Regions from separate parts of the Mus musculus genome. Here all the other regions are reported to be linked to region 1. The links are microRNA targets in miRTarBase. Many come from high-throughput screens and were not tested one by one. Region 1 holds a microRNA gene; each other region holds the end of a gene's coding sequence.
Evidence for each region. Region 1 holds the annotated microRNA mmu-miR-124-3p (UAAGGCACGCGGUGAAUGCC, at 1,302-1,321, opposite strand). A microRNA usually pairs through its seed, bases 2 to 8, with sites in the 3' UTR of a target mRNA and lowers its output. Matches are read on the target gene's strand: a 7mer-m8 pairs with bases 2 to 8, a 7mer-A1 pairs with bases 2 to 7 and ends in A, and an 8mer does both.

Region 1 (3,341 bases):
TCCTGGGCACCATCACCCTGCCACTCTGTGGGCCTTGGCCTCAGAACTCAGTAAGGAAAGCTGTCCCACAGAAAGCCTTGCTGAGAGCCACGAGAGTGGTTGCAGGCTTCTCTACTCCTGCCTGCTCTGGTCACTAAATCAACCTCAGTCAGAACCTTTTAAATATATTTTGAGGCACACTCTAGGGTCCTTTGAGAGGTATCTTTGGTGACCATATCTGAGATAAGATCCTCAACTGAAAACCGTGTGTTTCTCTTTTCAAGATTGTGATTTAAGAGGAAAAAAAATCTATTTAATCTCTCTCTAGCACATTTTGTTAACTACTCGGGTTTCTGGCCAAATCAGCTGATTGTCAGAGTGGATGGTTTCAGCAAAATACTGTTTAGCCTGTCTTTCCGTATTTCAAGGTTTTTATTTGTAAGTTAACTAATATCCTGGGGTATGGGGCTGGGTTAGAGAAGAAGCGATTCTATAATTCTATTGCCTTGTTTGCAGAATTACCACAAGAGGAGGGGGAGGAGGTAATGGAGGAGGAAAAGAAAGAGGAAGAGGAAGATGATCCTGTCAGCAAGGCGAGGGTGCGGCCACTTTGGGTTATCCTTCTCCAGCCTCTCCTTTGTTCCCAGGCCAGATAGGCCACCACAGAACAAAGACTTCCACCAAGGCTCTTTCTCAGCGGTGGTTTTCTTAGGCTTTCGGGTTATGGAACCTACCTTAACTAAGTACCTCATGGTCTTCCAAATACATTAATTTACCAAGTCTTAGAGTTCCTGGCTTGGCCTTTCCCTCTTATTGGACAATATTGACTGATTTGGGTATTGTCACTTTGCCTTGGCCTTTTAAATCCAGTCAAGGCTACCATGAGACTGGGTAAAGAATGGGAGAATAGTGAAAAGCTTGGGGCGGGGGTCCTATTTTCACTGATAATTGAGTCATTTGAGGTTTCTTATGCAGTGTGGTCTGGGGTTTCTCATCCGTTTTGTTTTCCCAGTTCGACCCAGAATTTTATTTGGAAAAGGCCAGCACTCTCTGAGTGCCATCTCTTAGACCGTTTGCACCAATGGGAACTACAGCTCTCCTGACAGCTGTCAATGAAACCTCTAATATTCCCCTTGGGAGTATGCATGCGGATTTCCCAGATTCTCGCTGAAAAACATTTGACTGTCTTGTATTCTAAAGATTTTGAATCAATGCGAGGGGTCCTTGTGTCGCACAGGATGGGTTCATTCTAGAATTGTTTCTCCCCACCCTTCCTAACTTCTCTCGGATGTCCTTCAAGTGCAGCCGTAGGCTCCGCTCTTGGCATTCACCGCGTGCCTTAATTGTATGACATTAAATCAAGGTCCGCTGTGAACACGGAGAGCAGAGTCTCTGATCTTGATCTAGAAGCAAGTGACTCATTGCAACTATTACTATAATTTTCTCCCTGCCCTTCACCCTCTCTTGGAGCTCTAGGCTTGGAGTCCCTACTCCTAGAGTTGTAGCTCTGAGCAGTACTCCCACCTCAGCTTTCCTCCCGCCACATCTGTCAGAGTTGCCATTAATTAGTCTGCAAGGTTGAAGAGTAGCGGGTGCATGAGTCTGCGATTCTTATGCATACATCTGCATGCCATTTACAGCGCACCTAAAACCCATACATATGTCTATAAATCTAGTTTTCAAATGATGACATGGATCGAAGTTAATTACCCCTCTGGTACAGATCTAATTTCGTAATCGTGTTATTTTACTGAAGGCAATTAACTGAGTTGGTTCGCCCTGAATGCCGTCCTAAGACATTTGTAAGGAAAGGCAAGTCTTTAAGGACCACACCATGAGTGTTCTGCTGCAGAAACCTTTGTCACTCATCCCCTGTTGCCAGAGATCTAGCAGAAAAAGCGAATATAATCATGCATGTTTGTATGTCCGACAAACACACGTATACGCCTTTGATAGCCCGATTTTGGTTGGGAAATTTTGGGAAAAGATCAGAATCCCAGGCCGGCTGGGTCCTCCTTCTTTGTATTGCGGAAAAATTAACTCAACAGCACCTGCCGAGTCCCGGGAGAGCTGGGGCCCATCTGGTCTGGCTATGATTTTACTGCGAAGAGAAAAGGCTGCTTGCTCGGGCTTCCTCCGGCTCTGGAGAGCAGAGATCGGGTCTGAGCCCGCTCTGGGCGTAGATTTAAGGGCAGCGCAGCAGATGCGCTCTCTCTGACTGCGGCGGGAGTCAGGAGGAGATCCGAGTCTGGGCTCGGCGGAGGGAGGGCAAGATGGAAAGAAGAAGAATGAGGGGAGTTGACCTCTACGGGCGGAGCCCTCTGGACGGCAGGCCGGAGGCGGCAAGCAGCGGCTCTTTTCACAGCATCCCTTGCGGCTGGGTGGGCCAGGGGGATGGACGGACTGCGCTCGCCTGAAGAAAGCCAAAGGGCTCAAAAGCAGGTTTTGTGCGGAGACCCCAGAGCGCTCCCCCTGAAAAACAGAATCAAAGCGCAGAATTAGAGCAGGAGGGAGGAGGGGGAGACTGGAGAGGAGGGACAGGAGGAGGGAGGAATCACTCTAGGGAGCCAAGGTGACCGGCCGTCCGGACCTATAGAATCGAGCTCGGGGAGCCCCTGCAATGTGCGGGGCGACAGGGGAGTTCCCAACTCAATCCCGGCTTCGGAAGGTGAGAAGATGCAGTCAGGACGAGAGAAATGTTTTCCTGAGATGGAGTCTTGAAAGCGAGTCCTCAGATTGTCCTCTGTGCAGTCTCAGCGATTTGCGCATCCCGCGCGCCCTTACCCATCTAACCCCTCCCTCAGACCACACGCCAGAACCGCATTCTCCAATCTCCACCCCTTCTTGGTTTAGAATCCTGCAAACTGCAAGACTGAAGAGTTCTCGCATGAAAATCGAAATGATCGATGAAATAAAGAATTTCATATAGGCATAGCCCTAGAAATCCAAAGGCGAAAGAGCTGCTAGCTCTGCTCAAACCTGCAGAGGACCAAAGCGTTTTCAGGGGCTGCTCCGCGTGTTCTCGGAGGAAAGAGGAGGCTGAGTGGTTTCCGCGATATAAGGTGCTTTAGGATGGGCGGTGGGGGCAGGGAGGGGGTGGATCGTAGCGGTCCGGTCTTTCCCCCTCGCTTGCTGATCCAGAATTAGGGATTAATGGCTCGCTCCAGCCAAACAAATAAGGCATCTGCCTTCAGCACAAGAGGATTACACGGGCTGCTGACGTCACCAGTCAGACAGATGTTGGCTCCCAAAGTCCTGAACAGCTCGCTGTGTCCTTGAAACCAAAGAGCTGCAGAAGGCGCGCAGCCCCCAAGAGCTGCGCCTGGGCAAAGCAAAGGGCACCCTCCTTGCCCTTGCTTACA
Region 2 (3,341 bases), not on the chromosome of region 1:
CTCCCACCTCTTAACGCCTCCAGGCCTTGGTTGGGAGGCAGCTGTACCTGCAAAGGCAGGCTGACGGCTTCAGCTTTTGTATCTGTGTAAGACACTGGCGCCTGTAACTCAGCTCTGTTCCAGCCCACTTAATTTTAAGAATAGACACTAATAATACTTAACCCCTCTCTGCTGCTGGTGGAGGATGGGCTCCCGTGCTCTGGCAGCTCCTGGTAATGCTATGCATGCCCTCCATGCCTTTCCCTGAGGCCTGAGAGGTGCAGTGACTGGTTCCGCTCACACAATGTGATGGTGGCAAAGAGGGGGACTTGAGCTCACAGCCACCCTTCTCCCTGTTCCTTCCCTGAGCCTCTACTAAGCCACCCATTATCCTGGCTAGGGGATTCTTTTGGGAAGAGACTCTGAGGAGGAGGTGGCCAACAAGTCTTGTAGGCTTGGTACTGGCAACTCCAGTCCAGACAAAAAGAGTTCTCTGTACCTAGGAACTCGCTCAAGGCCAGCCCTCAACAGTAGGAGAATGTGGTCTTCCTTGGCCACTAGATCAGGATGGAGCAGTGCCTGATGTTGGTCCCAGACCATTGCCAGACAGGGGGAAGGGTGGGGGAGGCACTCAGACAAGCCTGGGAAAGGGGCTTCCCTTTACACTGAGGCCTTGATATTTGGCACATCTTTACATGCGAGTATGAATCCAGACCACCAAGGAGGCCCAAATTCCACTCTTACCAGCAATGATCAGGTTAGCAAAAATGGGAGAAAACCAAAATCAATTTATCTCCCTCTATGAAGGTCACTGCTACAGGCAGGCTGGACCAACAACCACACCCTGTGTTGAGATGGCACTGAGGATGCTGGATTCTGACACCCCCCCCCCCCCCGGAAGGCAGCAGGCCTTCAAGTTAAGCAATACCTAGCTATTAGGTGGGCAGCCATCTGAGTGATCACGTTCCTATCAGGAGACTTGATCAAGGAATCAACTACATGGCCCCAGCTCTTCCATCCCTGCTGTGGGAATGGGTAAATGGCAAGCATACAGGTGGGTGCCCAGCTGCATTTGGCTGGCTCGCTCTCCTACTGCTGGAAGTGAACTTGCCTCAGAGGAATAAGTATGAGCTCCCTTGCTTCTTTTCAAAGAGGGCTTAGGTGCAATGAACAAAGCTCTGCAAGTCTTGCTAGGGCTTTCACTCTACAGGTGAACTATGTCTCCTTCATGGGGACCTACCTCACAGCCACCCTTCTTCCTACTGATCCTTCCCTGAGCCTCTGCTAAGCCACCATTATTCTCTGGACCTGCCAGTGTCTGCAGAGAGCAGCCTTGACTCGCTTGGCCCTTGTTGAGGGCCTCCTAGTCCTTCTATTCTTGGTATCCCCCCCAACCCTCACTTGGTTTCCTTGCCTGACTGTATCCATCACTGCTCTAGGGATGTGGAGGTCTTTCATGCTGCTCAGGTCAGGACAGAGTCTAGCAGGTTAGGACACAAGTCACAGGAGAAAGATGGTGGACTGCTGGGCTTGCCCAAGTTCCTCACCTAAGCACTGTCTTCAACAACTCAATCAACATAACTGCAAACACACTTAAGAGAGTTTCAAGAGAGATTGAGTGTGTCAATCTTCTAGCCAAGAGCAGTAAGGTTCTCTCAGCTGGGAACCAGCCAGACTCCAAGGTGGACAAGGAGGCCAGTGTCACCCCAGGTGCCCATAGTCACAGCCTTTACCCATCACTTCAAGGAAGTTCTGAGGTGCCCAGACGCACAAAAGGACTTTCCCAGAAAGAGTGCTGGCTGAAAGTGTGCCTTCCCACAACAAATGCAGCCTCTTTGAGAACCTCAACACGTCTGCCTATCAGGATCCATGACGGACCCAGCAATTCTCATCTACACCAAAGCTGTTTAAGGCACTTAAGTGGCTTATTAACATAACCTGGAAAAGTTTGTTTCCATCCCGATTTAGGAAAAATAAAATCATTAATACTGCAAATGTCTCCACGAACACACAAAAAAGTAAAATACTTAAGTTTTCAGGAATAAAATAAATGCTAAGCTTTGCTTAAGTTACATGACCTTGAGGGTCACCTTGGCACTGATACAACATGACAAAGCCTGAATACTGATTCTGGATTAGACCTTTCCCTGCAATAAATCTAAGCACACAAAGACACACACACACACACACACCTCACTTCACCTCCCCAGGAAGCTCAAGGGGAAAGCGAGGTCTAGAAAGCCCTAGTGGCCTTAGTACTCAGTTAGAGTGCAGTGGCAGTGGGTCACTCTCCTGCTGTGCCTCCCAGCAAGACCAATGTCTCCTCTTTGGGAAGCCAGCAGTCAAGCAGGACTGCGAGCTTGTGTGTTAGTACAGACCAAACCCTCCCAGCCTTGGGTACAATGAGAAGCCACAAGCCTGGGCTGGACACCTGGCTGCAGATCTCATTCCAGGATCTGTGTGAGGGTCCTCCAAGACCTGACCTGTGTTTTTGGTTAGGCTACCAGCAGGTGCCTGTGGTTTCTGTTCCCAGACCTGTCCGGCCCTGATCACCTCAGCCATCTGCTCTTCGGTGAGGCCATTTTCCTATGTTTCCTTCTGAGATCCACTAGCTGCCTACTGCAGTTCTGCAGCCATGAGGACAGGCTGTGGTAGGCAACATGAAGGGCTGGGGTGCTAAGGGAATGCTGTGAGAGTGTGCACCCCTGCCCACTATACCTTTTGGATCTAAGGTCTTTGAAGGGGAGGATCACGAGGGCAGAGGGAGAGTCCGGATGGGGCCTGGAGGCCTGGACCACTTAGCTTCTCTGTGAGGTATTACTGATCTCAAGTTCTGAGAGGCCAGTGGACAAGTCCTGGCTTCCTACATCTGCCTGGGCATCCCCTGTCCCCTGGACTCCACCCTCTAGCAGCTCCAGGGGCTCCCTAAGGAAGACCACCATGACTGTAATGTTGTCATGGGAGCCCCGGTCACGGGCCACAGCCACCAGCTCCTCAGCAATACGCATCCCATTGCCCTTGTGCCTGAGCAAGTGGCCATGGACGAGACCCGTGACTTCATGGTGGGGGACAACATCGAAGAAACCATCACAAGCAAGCAACAGGTAGTCCTCTGAGCCCGTTAGCTCTCTGGATGCTGCATCGGCCTCCCCAGACACATAGGGCTTCTGGAAGACATCCCCTGGGAATGAACAGACAGAAGAGCCTTGTTTCTTACTTCCCGTGTGCTCAGAACCAACCCATATCACCATCCCCAAGGGCATGCAGGTACAGGAGCCCAGCTGGCTCTCAAGGGGTCACCTGCTTAGTGCTTCCCACCCTCTTTGTAGGAGAGTCACACCCTCCCCCCCCCCCCAGCTCCA
Region 3 (3,341 bases), not on the chromosome of region 1:
ACAGTCCTTCTGGACCCTGCATGCCATGCTATCAAAGTGCCAAGCAAGATGTGACTACAGGTACAACAGCGGCACAGATGATTGGGGTACGACCAACTGCTTTCCAACTAGACTTAAACCACTCTACAGGGGAGAATTTGCTTCTGGTACTGTAAGAGACAACAAAAATTTGAGGCTGGGGATGTTCACAGGCCACAGTGGAAAACAGCTATCATGGTTTTATTAAAGATATGTGATGTGGCTGTCAAGCTGCCTTCTAAATATCTGTGCCAGTGGATCACTGTTGCTCTCAGAAGTTGGTCATAGAGGGAAACTTCCTTTCGTAAATGATGGCACAGTACAGAAACTCAAAACCTCTGGTGGAGCTCTTAAGGACAACATACTGTTGCTGTGATATGGGAGCTTACTTAATGCTTGGCATTAGATAGACATCTAGGTCACCCCCTCTGAAGTTCTGGGTCAGAGAAGTTGTGACTTTTCAGTCTCCAGTATAAGAGGTCATACCAGTGACAAATGATCAACCTTACACAAAATGTCGAGTTTTAAATCTACTGTGGTAGCTCACACCTGTGACTCCAACACTCAGGAGGCTCAGGCAGGCAGCCTGTTGTGAGTTCAAGGTAAGTCTGGGCTACATAGCAAGTCCCAGGTCAACCCGGACTTGTGTAGGTTTGGCAGAGTTTTACTGAATTCCATGAGGAGGGATTTAAAACATAGTCTGGAAACCCTGGGACAGTGTATTTACTAAGAACTTGTTGGAAGGTCAGAGCTCACAATGTGCTTTTATCAAATGACAACCTACACACTGCATGTTGCCCAGACTGCTAAGTATCCACCCCACCATCCATTCTTATTCTCCTAAAAACATGACTCTTGTTGCAGTCTAAATCCCTCTCCCGTAGTCTGTGCTTGATAAACACTTGGTAGTGAACTGTTAGGAGGTGCAGTCCTTGAAACCTCTCCCTATCCCTTCTTCCTGCCGCCTTCTCTGCATCCTGGCCCTACATGACGTATAGTGCTCCTGTCTCCAGGAACTAAGCTTCTTCTACCACCTTCCCCTCTGTGACACTGAGGCTTCTAAACCAGGAGTCAGAAATGATCTTTCTCCCATTAGGTTACCACTGCAAGTATTATGCTCACAACAATATAAAACCTAACTCCCTTCTGGGGCGCCAATGTACCCAGATAAAGCTGCCTTTTCTAGTCTCCTATGTGGCCACATGCCTCTGATCCAGGCATTTAGACTTCAGTTTTGCATGGGTACTCTGAGGGAGGCTGCTGTGGCCAGGAGAGCTGCCTTTGCCTCACCCTGGCTTCTTCTTGGGATACAACTCCTGCAAAGAAGACACGGAGCTGAAGGTCTAGCAGAAGTCATTCTGGAGGCCATGAGGCAACGCCAAGGAAAGGAGGCACCCACAGAGGACAGAGTCTAATAGTCTGAGATTCTGTGGTCTCTACAGACCTTACTAACTATACCCAGCCCTTGCACTTCCTGCCCATGAGAAACTATCATTGTATATGAGCCCTGCTTACTACAGAGAAGTAGGTATTATATTTTTTGCTGGATATCAAAACCACTGGCCATTCTTGGTTAAAAACAGAGAAGTCCAGGTAGGCCCCACTCCGCTAGTAGCCTGGCCTGTTGTCCTTTACCTACCTAAGCTGGTACCTTTATTACTGTTGCATTGTACTGAACCCAGTTCCCTTACATGCTAAGTGCACACCCCACCCCTGCCCTCTGCCTCCAGCCCACACAAGAATTTGAGGCTTTTTTTTTTTTCCTAAACAGCCCCCAATAGCCACCTTTCAGATTTTGTCCTTGGTCCTGACAACATGCAATCAAAAACAATTCAGTAATATCCAATTTGATTTTATTTCAGACTAGAAGCACGTTTTGGACTTGAATGGGTGACTTACAGTCCAACTCACTGAGATACAGTGATACTCCCAGTGTGTTGGCCCAGTGCAGACGGCCTAGGCCTGCCCTCTGGTTCCCACTCACCTGGCCAGACCTTGGCTAATTCCTGGCTGTTTATGTAAAGCTACACAGAAGCACCCTTCCTGAAGCCTGCAGCTGGGCCTTAGTAATGCCGTCATTCTGCCCTGGACCATTCACTTCAAATGCGATTCTAAAAGCACTGGCTAAATCAGTTGCTCTGGATCACCAAGGCATGCCTTGATTGATGCTCCCCTGCTCTGTCAGCTAGCCTCCCTAGTGAGGGCTCAGAGCCCAGGAGTCACTTTGTGATCATCCCTTTCCATCTACACACTCCAAGTCTGCGGTTTTCTGAGCCCCCTACTATCCACTGCCAGCCTGACTGGGAATCTTTCTGTATTCAGCTACTAGGGACAGGCGTACCTCTTCCTGTTTCTCTCCCAAAAGCATATCACTCTTTTACTGTCAGAGCAATAATGAACATCCAAGTGGTAGGAACTGGGGCTCACAGACCACTCGCTGTCTCAAAGAAAAAGTGGTCTAGCCCCACTTAAATATAAACTACACATTCTTCAAACCCCCATTTATCGAGGCTCACAATAATGATAAAAATATGACTCATAACCCGCTCATTGTATCCCATTCCTGAGACTTAAAGCCACCCCTTACTTCTGTCTCGCTTTGTAGATTCAGCTGCGGAGGGAAGTCCCACAGTCCAAACCCTAGATGAAGCACTCATCAACCTGAGAGGTGATTAGGCCATGCCTGGCTCAGAGTTGCACCAGCCCTGTGACTAGAGGATCCTTTGGCTATATGGGCTGGCAAAGCTAGGCCCAGATTTCTCTTACCTGGATCCCAGCCCTCTTCCTGGAACAGAGATGAACATATCTCTATTAGAGAATATGGCTAAAGGCCAGGGTAGGGTTTCAGAGTGTCAAGAGGGCAATGCCCCCAGGTAGGCCCCGGGGCTGCTGCAAAGAGAAAATACCCCAGGCTGCAGGACTCACTCTGCTTTATTTCTGGTAGTGAGTAGAGTTTGAAGAGCCACCTCCTCCTCCTCGGACGGCATGGACAGCTGTCGGAGATGATGCTGGGTAATGGCCTGGGCGGATGGGCTTGGCTATATCCCAGAGAAAGGAGAGAGAAGAACATCATTGGTGACGACCAGTCATGGGTTTATCAACATTGCACCACTTACTTACCCCCAGACCTTCCTGGGCATAGCAGGTCTGGCCTCTGAAAAATAAACTAAGGACACCCCACATAATTCAGGGAGAGAGAGAACTTATATATTAATCATCCTATTATTTTTTCTTTTTAAAAAACAAAGATTCTTTTTTTTCTTGAATAATTTATTTATTTGTATTTTATGTACATTGGTGTTTTGCCTGCATGTATATCTGGC

Region 2: the mRNA of Ppm1f is a reported target of mmu-miR-124-3p. Seed matches in the 3' UTR shown: 8mer at 1,888-1,895.
Region 3: the mRNA of Kif5c is a reported target of mmu-miR-124-3p. The part of its 3' UTR that is shown has no 7-base or 8-base seed match.

The regions. Positions count from the first base shown.
Region 1 is chr3:17,793,703-17,797,043 of GRCm38, reverse strand. It overlaps Mir124a-2 (microRNA 124a-2), which reads right to left and starts at 1,382; the gene lies at 1,274-1,382. Mir124-2hg (Mir124-2 host gene (non-protein coding)) reads right to left here. Exons shown (of 3, transcript NR_033490.1): 2 at 2,031-2,451. It overlaps Gm51272 (predicted gene, 51272), which reads left to right and starts at 1,303; the gene lies at 1,303-1,359.
Region 2 is chr16:16,923,459-16,926,799 of GRCm38, reverse strand. It overlaps Ppm1f (protein phosphatase 1F (PP2C domain containing)), which reads right to left. Exons shown (of 8, transcript NM_176833.4): 8 at 1-3,160. The coding sequence ends at 2,778. Among named protein-coding and RNA genes, the nearest start is that of Ppm1f, 29 kb to the right of the region's middle.
Region 3 is chr2:49,758,525-49,761,865 of GRCm38, reverse strand. Kif5c (kinesin family member 5C) reads right to left here. Exons shown (of 26, transcript NM_008449.3): 25 at 2,944-3,056. The coding sequence ends at 2,950. Among named protein-coding and RNA genes, the nearest start is that of Gm46738, 13 kb to the right of the region's middle.